3 linked regions of the Rattus norvegicus genome follow. The protein of the gene in region 3 interacts with the protein of the main gene of each other region in a pairwise test. Links are inferred from orthologs where the notes say so. Each region holds a gene or a part of one and is shown on either strand. Other genes may lie near its edges.

Evidence for each region.
Region 1: the proteins of Creb1 (region 3) and Crtc1 interact in binary tests that used the Homo sapiens proteins (3 or more experiments, as listed by UniProt). The link is inferred for Rattus norvegicus from reciprocal best matches to the Homo sapiens genes CREB1 and CRTC1.
Region 2: the proteins of Creb1 (region 3) and Tssk4 interact in binary tests that used the Homo sapiens proteins (3 or more experiments, as listed by UniProt). The link is inferred for Rattus norvegicus from reciprocal best matches to the Homo sapiens genes CREB1 and TSSK4.

The regions. Positions count from the first base shown.
Region 1 is NC_086034.1:19,020,857-19,025,009, forward strand, and holds the start of Crtc1 (CREB-regulated transcription coactivator 1), read left to right. Parts: upstream 1-1,353; 5' UTR 1,354-1,385; coding exon 1,386-1,511; intron 1,512-4,153. UniProt on the Homo sapiens protein: Transcriptional coactivator for CREB1 which activates transcription through both consensus and variant cAMP response element (CRE) sites.
Region 2 is NC_086033.1:33,110,224-33,114,533, forward strand, and holds Tssk4 (testis-specific serine/threonine-protein kinase 4), read left to right. Parts: upstream 1-1,510; 5' UTR 1,511-1,642; coding exon 1,643-1,867; intron 1,868-2,202; coding exon 2,203-2,417; intron 2,418-2,739; exon of another isoform or gene 2,740-2,770; coding exon 2,771-3,164; intron 3,165-3,437; coding exon of another isoform or gene 3,438-3,482; exon of another isoform or gene 3,483-3,583; coding exon 3,584-3,769; 3' UTR 3,770-3,860; downstream 3,861-4,310. UniProt on the Homo sapiens protein: Serine/threonine kinase which is involved in male germ cell development and in mature sperm function. May be involved in the Cre/Creb signaling pathway. Phosphorylates CREB1 on 'Ser-133' in vitro and can stimulate Cre/Creb pathway in cells.
Region 3 is NC_086027.1:73,421,718-73,425,227, forward strand, and holds part of Creb1 (cyclic AMP-responsive element-binding protein 1), read left to right. Parts: exon of another isoform or gene 1-550; coding exon 551-697; exon of another isoform or gene 698-1,400; coding exon of another isoform or gene 1,401-1,442; exon of another isoform or gene 1,443-3,398; coding exon of another isoform or gene 3,399-3,407; exon of another isoform or gene 3,408-3,510.

The DNA.
Region 1 (4,153 bases), on a different chromosome or scaffold from region 3:
ACCTTCAGCACTGCATGTGTGTCTGTGTGTGTACATGTGTACAGAGGACGGTGTCTGGTGTATTTTTCTAATCCCTTCTATCAGTTCCTTAGAGGCAGAGCCTCTCACTGAACTTGCAGCTCATCTTTCAGTAGAATGATTGGCCAGTTCCTATCTGCAGTTCGCTAACACGGAGGTCACAGGCACCCATGGCCATGCCCAGCTGGAGATTTGAACTCAGCTCCTCCTACTTGGTACAGTCAATGCTATTATGACGGAGCCTTCTCTAAAGTTCTAATTTTTTTCATTTGTTTTTTTGTTTTGTTTTGTTTTGTTTTGTTTTCCTGAGAGAGGGTTTCTCTGGGTAGCCCTGATGGTTCTGGTAATTGCTTTGTAGACCAGGATGGCTTTGAACTCACAGAGAACTGCCTGCCTCTGCTGGGTTTAAAGGCACGTGCCACCATGCCTGTCCTTAGCTCTAATTGTAAATTTAAAAAAATTTGCTTATGCATCTGTGTGTGTGCACATGCTACATATGTATTTAACTTCTTGCCGAGGCCGGAGGAAGGCATTAGATACTTTAGAACCAGAGTGAGCTGCCCCACGGAATCACAAAGTCACCCTTAATCTCTGAGCCATCTCTCATCTCTCCAGCCCCCTCTTTTCTTTCTTTTTTTTCTCTAATCTCAGTGTCATGTGTCACAGGATGGTTTGAACTTCCCATCCCCCTGGCTCCAGCTGGTTCAACCATCACACTCAGCACTGTCCTTGCAGAAGGCGCAACACTTCTACCATCTGAAGCCTTATTATAATTGTGTGTGTGTGTGTGTGTGTGTGTGTGTGTGTGTGTGTGTGTGTGTGTGTGTGTGTTGCTGGGGACCGAACCCTGGCTTCTGCCTGGGAACTCTCCCCAGGACCCCTGCCTCCATTCCTGGTAGGAGGCTTGCTCCCCTCCCCGGCTGTGTACCCCATTAGCCCAGGAACCACTTCTGTTTGCTCACGCCTGTGCCCTGGTATACAGCAGACGCTCTACAAGTCCTCAGTGAATGCTGGATTCCAGTGAATGCAGGTATCAGTTCTTCGCCACTCAAGTCCCTGGTTGATGGGACAGGACCCACAACTAGGCGACCGCTGTCCAGCGGGCCACGCGCGCTACCGTGCGCCTGCGTAGCCACTCCCCTCCCGGGCTCCCAACGCACTGCCCAGGCAGCGCAGGCGTATTCACCTACACCCCCCACCTCCGCGCCTCATGCCTCTCCGGTGCGCCTGCGCTACGCTCTGGGCCATGCATGCGCCTGCGCGTTGCTCTCCGGCCGTGGGCCCGGCCGGCGCCTGCGCTGTGGCGCCCGCGAGTGGGGGGGCGAGGAGGTGGAGGAGGAGTAGGAGGAGGAGGAGGCGGCGAGAAGATGGCGACTTCGAACAATCCGCGGAAATTTAGCGAGAAGATCGCACTGCACAACCAGAAGCAGGCGGAGGAGACGGCGGCCTTCGAGGAGGTCATGAAGGACCTGAGCCTGACGCGAGCCGCGCGGGTGAGAGCGCGGGGGAGGGGAGGGGAGGAGGGAGGGGAGGAGGAAGAGACGCGGGGGCGGGGCTGCGGCCGCCGCAGGTGTCCCCACGCCGCCAGCCGGTGCAGAGCGGCTGCTCGCGAGATTGCTCTTTGGACTGGACAGGTGGTCCCATCGCAGCTACCTGAGGGGACAGGTGTCATCTATTATTGTTGCCGGAGGGGACATGTGCCCTCTTCATAGCTATCAGAATGGACACGTGTCACCCCCCTGATTGCTACCTGATGGTACAGGGACTCCATCATTGCTACCTCATAGGACCTACGACTCCATCATTGCTACCTGGTGGGGCAGGTGTCATCCTTCATTGCCACCTGTGGGGATAGGTGGCCCCACCATTGCTACCTTCAGGGATAGTTGTTCCCGTTGTGTTATCTATGTGGATAAGCGGCCCCATTGTTGCTACCTGAGGGTATAGTTGTCACCCTTTATGCTTAGTGGACAGGTCTCCATTATTGCTACCTGAGTGGACGGTTGTCACCCTTCATTTCTACTTAAAGGAGAGGTGTCCCTTCATCGTTATCTGAGGCACAGTTGTCACGCCTTTGCCACCTGAGGAGGAGGTGATACTGTAGCATCATCACCTGTTCCTTCCTTGGGTGCTCCTACTTCTGCGTGGAGCAGATGTTATCCCTCTTGGGTAGCTGAGTGGTCTTCCATGTTTGGAATCAGCATAGAGGTGGTTGCTTGGTTCCCATGCAGCCTCTGTGCTGGGGACCAGGCTGTGGGCCTCTATTCATGACAGGGAACAGCTGCCACCAGACTGAGATGGAGGGTGTAACTGCCTCAGGTGGCTGGGCCATTTGACAAGCATGTCTGGCCTTGCTGGGTTCTTGGCCAAATGGAGTGGACGTGGGACCTGATCCTTTCATGTCAAGTGTGTGGTGTCAGATGTTCCTCAAGGGTCAAGGAGGTGATGCTGCAGTGTGGCATGTTCTGCACACCCTTAGGCCTGGGTTCTGAGTCCCACGTGACCTGTCAGGGGCACTTAAGTGAGGCTTTGATTCATCAGGGGCTCCTTTGGGTCAGGTGGTTTTATAATCAGGTGCTTGTTTTTCCAAGATTGTGGCATCATAGACAAAATGAGCATTTGAATGTGGTGGCTTCCTCACTTTCAACCAGACTCTGTCCCCAGAGCCCTCAGGAGGGGGGACACGTGTTCTCCCTTAGCATATTGAAAAAGGCATTGAGAAAGGGCAGTGTGTCATCTGCTGGGTGGAGATCGTGGTGCACAACTTTAATCCTAGCACTCGGAAGGCGGAGGCAGGCAGATCTCTGTGAGTTCAAGGCCAGCCTGGTCTACTGAGGGAGTTCCAGGGCAGCAGAGGTACACAGAGAAACTCTATCTCCAAAACCAAACCAAACCAAACAAAAAAGTGTGTCATCCTTGTGTCACTTAGAAGGCAGCCGAGTCTGCTTCTTGTTTCTAGCACATAGTAGGTGTCAGTATACAGTTGGTGTCAAATGTTTGCAGTGTAACCAGAGCAAAGAGCTTCATGGCTGAAGTTTTGACAGACATCTGGTTTCTTCATGGGATTGAGAGTGGAAAAGATGACTGAGGCAAGGTCTCATGTAGCACAGGCTAGCCTTGATCTCACTGAGTAGCTGAGGATGACTTTGGACACTCCTGCTTCCGCTTCCTGAGTCCTCGGAGGACAGGTCCTGAAAGGACGTACCAGCCTGGTTGGAATGTAGTTGAGAAGTAAGGTCTGTTTGTGACCCGTGGCTTCTAAATTTATTCCTTGAATCATGTGACCACACCACTGTCTTCTAGAACAGTTTTGTTGCCCTAGAGAAGCTTGGTCCTTCAGCAGCCTGAGCCACATCCCCTCCCTGTGGGTACAGCTGTTCTGGGATCACAGCCCTCTGTCTTTGTGGAGTTGGTCCCCACACTCCAACCATCCATGTCCCATTCCTCATTAATAATGCGGCAAGTTGGTGAGAGCTCGCTTCGTGAAAGTGCTGTCCACCAAGCCTGGGAACCTGAGTTCAGAATATATGTAACAGGTGGGTACAGTCACACGTGCCTGTCTCTCAGCAGTCTGAAGGCTGAGGCAGGGAGATTGCTGTGAGTGTGAGGTCTTTAACGATAGCCTAGGCCATAAAGCAAGGCAAATCTCAAAAAGAAAGAAAGAAAAGAAAAGAAGAGAGAGAAGAAAAAAGAAAGGTGTGTGGGGTGTGTGTGTAGGGGGAGCTGCTGAGGTCATGGTGTGTGTAGTAAGGTAAAGTGCTTGTCAAAAAGCCCAGGGACTTGGTCCCCAGCATGCACTGAGGCCACTGAACTCAGCCAGGAGGATATCAAGGCTCCACCCACCCCAGCCTGTCTAGCCACTCAGTGAAATGGTAGACTGGAGAGATGCTCTGTGGTACCAGCATTGGCTGAGGGCTCATGTTCATTTCCCATCATCCACAGCAGACAGTTTACAACTGCCAGTGACTCCAGCTCCAAGGGGATCTTGGGCACCTGAACTCACATGCAGCTGCACACACTACTCATAATTTAAAAATCAAAATTGGCCAGGCATGGTGGTGATGCATATCTCCGATCCCAGCAGAGGCAGGAGGCTCTCTGTGAGTTTGAGGCCAGCCTCTTCTACAGAGGGAGT
Region 2 (4,310 bases), on a different chromosome or scaffold from region 3:
TTCCCCCATACACTTGTAACCCCAGAATTGGGTAGTAGAGATAAGTGGATGCAGAAAGCTCACTGGCTACCCACATTAGCCAAAATGGCAAGCTTCCAGGTCACTAGCAGATTCAAGGCTATAAGGAAGTGTGACCAGAAAACACCCAATGTCCTGCTCCGGCCTCTGCATGTGTGGACACACGTGTCCATACATAAATGCTTCAACTGGAGGGGAGCAGCAGGCTTGCAAGTGACCAGTTTATTGATAGGGGGTTGTGCTGAGCAGAAATGGCAGTGGGCATAGAGCTGTGAGTGCATTATCTTTATATGTATGGTGTATGGGTAACTATAAGAACATGCACCCGTGTTCATATGGAAGCTAAAGGAGGACATCAGATGTCCTCCATCACTCTTTGCCTTATTCCTTTGGGGCAGGGTCTTACTGAACCAGAAGTTTGCATCTCTGGAGTAGGTGGGAAGTGAGCAAACCCCAGTGATACTCTCATCCACCTTGCTCAGAGCTGGGACTGAACTCCAGTCTTCGTGCTTGAACAGCAAGAGCTCTTAACTGCTGAGTGATCTCTCTAGACCCTTCAAGGGCTTTATGAATGAAAAAAAAAATAGGTTGAAGAGACGGGATTTGGTGATATAATATATTGGATGTAGGCACGAAGGCAGACAGTGCTGGTGTGATATTTGATGTCTATGTTCAGGACAACATGGAAGTCTTAGAGTAGGAAATAGTTCAGTTTGGATAGGAATTTGAGGTGCAGAGAGAAGACATGTTCCTGTAATATTTAGTAAGCAAGTAAGCAGATAGGCACAGTCTTGAACTCCAGTAAGTATCTGGGTGGAACTGGCACAAGGAGCCATCAGAATAAACATGAAATCTTAGGGCAAGAGCCTGGGAGGAAGTGAGGGTCCGAGAAAAGGAAGCTTGTGATTTAGGCATGGACAGGGGCTTGGGAGAATGGGGGTTGACGGGAGCAAACGGAAGGCTCTAGGCTTAATCAACAGTGAAAACAAGAGAAAACTGAAAACTGGAGATGATGGTGCTCCCATGGGAGAGTGACTGAAAGGATGGGACAAACCAAGAGCATCCCCGATCATATGAAGCAAGCATGCAGGGCAAGCCTGAATTCAGACCGTGCTTCAGCACCGTGCAGTCCTGTGTACACCCTGACAAGTTTCTCACGCTGGATTATAGAAGTGTAGACACTGTTGACCTCAGTGGTTAGTTTAATGTAGTATATTCTGCATATTATCTACCACCGCATGGCAGACACCCAGTAACAAAGGGGCCACAGGGGAGACTTACCGGTTGTGTAAAGTGTCTTTTGTAATGAATATGTTCCAAATTGCACTTGGTTTCAAGCTTCGTGGCCAACAGTGAGAAAAGGTGTATGGAACTTGGGACCGTGGAAGTTCTGTAACTAAGACATGGAAGTAACAACAGCCAGCCAAGACAAAAAGAATGTTCTTTTCTTTCCCCTTCCAAGTTCTTAGTGAAGGGCCAAGCCCAGCATCCCAGACTTGTGTGACTGGGTAAACACTGGGACACTAACTTCACTTCAGTACCCTCCCTTCAGAAGCTCAAGGTGGCTTCTCGGTAGACAGAGGCTTCTAAGTATCAAAGCTCCCCACTGCGCAAGCCCAACATCATGGGGAAGGGAGACACCTCGGAAACAGCATCAGCCACTCCAGCCTATCGCTCTGTCATGGAGGAGTATGGCTATGAGGTGGGCAAGGTCATTGGCCATGGCTCCTATGGAACTGTCTATGAGGCTTACTACACCAAGCAGAAGGTCATGGTGGCTGTCAAGATCATCTCAAAGAAGAAGGCCTCTGAAGACTACCTTAACAAGTTCCTACCACGTGAGATACAGGTCAGAAAGGGAGCTGAAAGAGGGAACCGAGGCTTATTAATGAGCTCCTTGAGGTATCGGGGTGGATATGGAAACCTCCAAACCAGAACTGAATGTCTTAAGTAGGAAAATTCTGTAATATATATATATACATACATATATATATATATGTATGTATATATATATATCATATCTCCTCTTATGTGCAAACATTCAGTTTATTAACCATCCCCCCATGCAAAGTGGGATTTGCTCAGACACCAGCTGATTCTGTTGCAAAGTAGCAATGGGAGAGTGGAGAAAGGCCAGCGTAACTGGAGTTTGCCAGGTTTGATGGTTCCCTCTTTTGGGATCAGGTAATGAAAGTCTTACGGCACAAGTACCTCATCAACTTCTATCAGGCCATTGAGACCACGTCCCGAGTGTACATCATTTTGGAGCTGGCTCAGGGCGGTGATGTCTTGGAATGGATCCAACGCTATGGGGCCTGCTCTGAGACCCTTGCTGGCAAGTGGTTCTCCCAGATGGCCTTGGGCATCGCTTACCTGCACAGCAAGGGCATCGTGCACCGGTGAGGACAGTCACCGCACTGGGCTCTGGGTTCTCGAGGGAGTTTTATGCATATTGCCCATTTTCTGTCCCTTTCTCTTGACTTCTCTCGATATATACGTCCATTTGTTCACCATATTGTAGCCCTCTGGTCAAGGACACTTGTATCCACTGTGCGAGAGCACATTATACACAATGGTGAACTAGTGGTCCAAAGGTACCATCCTCTCTCCCTTTTGGGCTCTGCTCACAACTCCATGGCTTTGCTTCCTCTTTCCTTCCCATAGACCCCTCGCTCCCACTTGTCCTGTCCTCGTCTCTAGCCTCTGACCCCTTCCTTTCAGCTCCCGGTCTAATACTAAGCCCTCTCCCCAGCCTGACCCCCAGCCTTTCTGCTGCTGGTAGGGACTTAAAGTTGGAGAACCTGTTGCTGGACAAGCGGGAGAATGTGAAGATATCGGATTTTGGCTTCGCCAAGATGGTGCCTTCTAGCCAGCCTGTGCGTAGTAGCCCTTCTTACCGCCAAATGAACTGCCTTTCCCACCTCAGCCAGACCTACTGTGGCAGCTTTGCTTACGCCTGCCCGGAGATCTTGCTAGGCTTGCCTTACAACCCTTTCCTGTCTGACACCTGGAGCATGGGCGTCATCCTCTACACCCTAGTGGTCGCACGGCTGCCTTTTGATGACACCAATCTCAAGAAGCTGCTGAGAGAAACCCAGAAGGAGGTCACTTTCCCAGCTAATCTCACCATCTCCCAGGAGTGCAAGGTGCTGGCTCCCCCAGGAGGGCTGTGGCCTTAGGGATGACCCATGGGGAGGGGGAAGGAAATACCAAACTTAGGCCTTCCAACAACCCGCCCACCCCAGGGGTGGCTTTGGTCAGGCCAGAGCCGGCTCTAGCTCCTACTCAAAGTGGTGGGAAGGCCTTAGGAGGGTCAACCACTGAGCTTCAAGCCTTAAATATGCTTGGTAATGAGGTTCCAGCAATGATCCCTTTAGGGCAGAAGGGATTATGCAAGGAGCTCTTCTCTTTTCTTGCAGGGCTCCAGCATAAAACCAGGGCCCCAGCCCCCTTCACCAGAGTAGTGCGATGGGCCATCCTGCTTCTTCCTTAGGTCCAGCTGCTCAGTGCCTGTGCTCACAAAGGGGGACAAGCTCAGCCAAGCCCTCTCTCTCCCCTGCCCTAGAACCTGATCCTCCAGTTGCTACGCCCAGCTACCAAGCGTGCCACCATCCTAGATGTCCTCAGGGACCCCTGGATGCTCAAGTTCCAGTCTGAGCAACCCTCGAACGAAATCAGGCTGCTGGAGGCCATGTATCAACCCGCCAGCACCACCGCTAATCGCCACCAATCCTTGGAAATCACAACTTGAAAGTGGCTGAGGCAGGAGGTTAAGGAAAAAAGCAATAGAGACTGGGGGGAAAATCTTTTCTATAAAATAAACCTAATTAGTTTCATCATGATGTAGGGTCAAAGACATTCTTTTCTCAAGAGAGTCTTAGTGGAGACCACTACTGCAGGGTGGGTTTCTGCCCAAAGCCTGTAACCTCTTGACACCTGTGACAGTTAATGAAATTGACTCGGGGAAGCTTTACCGTGCTGACTAAGTTTGTGAGTTTGAGGCTCTTACTTCACATTTTTGTTCTCTAATGCTCTAGTGGCAGATGGGACGGGGCAGGGATGTGTGGAGACTGGGGGTGGTGGAGGAGGGGGGGGTTAGTTTTGTTTTGATTTGGACTGGCCTATATACAGTTCAAAGCCATGGCATTGTCCTTTCTGTTCTGTGTTTGCTCCTAACTTGGGTCAAAGTTTTAACTGGGAAGAAGAGTTACCAAAAGGGAACAGACAGGCCTGGTTTCTAGGGACCTCCAGTGTCACTTTAGTCACTACTGAAAGAATGGCCTCGATGCAGG
Region 3 (3,510 bases):
AATATTCTTTCAGCTCTGCTCCTTTATTCATCCAAAATGAAAACATGTCTTAAAATCCACCTGTTACCAGATTAGTGTTTTTTATGAATAGGAGAAATTGAAAATTTTAATTACAATGCATTTGCTTTCTTGTTAAAAACATATTTGTAATTAGTCTAAATGTGTTGTTCTGAACTTAGTAAGTTCTTATTGCCCAGACTGGAAAAGTTAAGATTTTAAAACATGGTTTAATATCAGGGTGTTCTGAAAACTTGTGTGCTTAAGGCCAGCATGTCTGTTGTTGACATTGGGTGAATCAGTCTCGGCATATTTTTGTCTTTAAGTAAATATAATCCTTATTACTCAGCCTTTAATTTAAAAAGAAAGAAAGAAAGCTTGAATATAAAAAGCAGGCAGGAAAGAGTTTTAAATTGTTGGTTTCTTGCACATTGTTAAAATATGTATTAAGTAGGAAGGTCATAGTTTTGCTTATTAGAAGTCACTTTATGTTAAACCTGAGTAGTCCCACAGAGGTTGCTGTGGTGGTCATTGCTTTCCGTGTTTTCTGTAGGTATCCATGCCAGCAGCTCATGCGACGTCATCTGCTCCCACTGTAACCTTAGTGCAGCTGCCCAATGGGCAGACAGTCCAGGTCCATGGGGTCATCCAGGCGGCCCAGCCATCAGTTATTCAGTCTCCACAAGTCCAAACAGTTCAGGTATGTGTGCGACAAGCTCTATATGTACTTCAATAACTTGTTTGTAGCCATTTCTGTCTCCTTTCATTAGTTGTGAAAATAAGGACACATTAGTTTAGATTTATTTTGCTTGGTAGTAAAGGAGTATGTTGAATCTGCATAGTTCAGTTATATATGCCAAGTCATATCTAAAGAAAATTACTTTTTTTAAGCTTCAAAAGAAAAAGCATTTATTTAGAGAGATAGATATTAATACATGTGATAAGTGGAAATGTTGGGAAACACTGTAAGACTGATGTACCTAAATTAAGGATAATCAACTTAAAATGAGACGAAGTTTGTATGGGGAAAGGGTTGCTAAAGATTAATTAATAGTCTTACCTGAGATAAGATTTGTACTAGAGATCACATCAGACATCGAATTGTCTGTTGAACTTTTAGGTAGAGTATGTAACTCTGAAATAATACAGTATCTAGAAGGTACATCATGAGGGTCATTGATTGTATCACATATCTGATTCTTTGGAGAGGTTGCTCCTTTGGGGTAAAGGGAATAAAGGCATTCTAGACATCTGAAGAGGACTACTTAGGTCTAGGGACCCAAGAGCAGTAACAGGACAATTCTTTGCAGATCAGCTAATTGAAGGAAAAGCGAGCAAAGACTAAACATTCATGCAAGTAGGCCATAACCCCAGCCTCCCGTTTCATATTTTTTACTTCACAGTCTTCCTGTAAGGACTTAAAAAGACTTTTCTCCGGAACTCAGGTGAGTCCTAGGTACTAGATTTGAAGAAAATTACTTTTAGAAAGGAAGGTGAGAAATTATGTATGTCTTTGTCCTTCTCTGTGAACATGGAATTTCAGGGTTTGAGTCCAACTGTACGCCTCTGTTGCACTGCTCACTGCTTAGTTACTGCTCAGGTCTCTAACAGCTCTCCTCCAGCTGATAGCCAGCCCAGAATGCACGAACACCTTGTGAAAAGGAAGCTGTACCTCCTGAGGACTGGACAGTTAGACATGAAGCCTAACTGCTGAAATACTGTGTAGTTAGACAGAGAATGCCTTTCTAAAATGGGGACCTGCTGACCACAGGAACTAAGCAAATCTAACTGTTTCTGTCAAACTTCTTCCTTTCCCTTCTTTCCCCACACTCTTCCTACTATACAGAAACATATCAAGATTCAACAAGCTTCTATTTTTCTTCAGCATTTATTATATGGTATATGTTTAATTTCTCTTGCTCAGCCTTGGCTGTTTTCTAGAGTGGATCTGCTGTGTTTTTCTTGTATGGTAGCCAGAACTGACTGATATTTTCACGAAGAGGAAAGGTGCTTGCTCCTTTGTCCTGGAACCAGGCTGTTCTTGTCATTAAACCCACATCAGGTTTCGTCAGCATTATGTCAAGCTGTAGAGTTGATGTTACCTCCTCTACTTTTTTCTTCCCTTTGTACTTCTGGTTTGCTTTAACACTTTCAGGGTAGAGAACTGTTGTCCGGTGAATTTCCTGAAGATACTAGGAATGGACATTACTAACAAGCAGTGACAGTATTAGCCAAGTCAAAGCCTCGTTTTGAGAAACCACAGTGATAAGTAGTCCTGTGACTTAGCCTGTATTTTAGGGAATACAGTCTTGCCATCCTCCATATGATCTCAGCACTAACTCCATACCTGCATTCTTCTCTAGAGCTTGGCCTGCTAGTCAAGAGTTTTAGAGACCAGACCCATTTTGGATAGTAATAGGTCAAGTGATGCTGAGCACAAATCACCCTTACTTCTCTTTCACTTACAGAAAGTTTTTGCTATTACAAAATACATAATACAGTTTTTAATTAATAGAATATGATATTTAATTGTGCCTTTATTCTTACTTTTATTCTTATCTTGGGGCAAAATAATTTAAACTCAAGTATTAAATGTCCTTAACTTTGATAGAAATCTGGGTTTGTCTTTTCAAGAATAACATTTTTATCACAGTGAGCTATGCTTATAACTTTAAAAATACATGTTTGAAAAAGGAAACCTGGACTCCTGAAAGTCTGGACTGTATGGAGATGTAATGTGTGTTTCTTTTTCATGAAATATGCTAAACCAGGAGAATGTGTTAAACTTGCATGGTTATTTGAGCCAGCTACCAGTGGTTAGTGTTAATAACTAGGAAGTAGTGGCTTACAAGAGGTTATTAAACAGGGTGAGGTATCCTTCAGACTTACAGATGATAGAGTGTTAGTGTTATATATAAAGTTTCCAAAACATACAAGGTATGTGTCTCCTAGTGAGAGAATAAGAATAGTAGGACTTCTGCTGATGTATTTCAATATAATAATATTGGAGACTGAGCTGTATTAATTAATATTCTGTGTACAGCTTCACTTTACTGCCTTAATTTATTCTTGTATGTATAAACCACATCTCACAGATGATGTGAGAATTCTTGCAAAAATGACAGCAGTTACAGCAGTTTCACAGTGTATACAGGGTTAGTAGTGGCACTTACCAGTTTGGACCACATTTCAATATAGTGCTGTCTAAATGTACCAGAAAAGATTCATAGATTTTATGAGTGTAAATTATGACATCCATTTCTTCAACAAATGTTTATTGATCACGTGCTATGTGCCAGTCATTGTTCTAGGTGCTATGAAAGGCAGCAGTGAGCAAACAGTACATCTCTGTTCTCATGAAGATCACACTTGAGTGAAGAGACACACTATGAGAAAATAAAATGTGTCAGGTGAGGATAAGTGCTGCAGAGTTAATAAAACAAGGGAAAGGGTAGAGCAAGATGCAAAGGGAAGTATGCTGTAATTCATTCAAGGTGGTTGGGGAGCACAGTG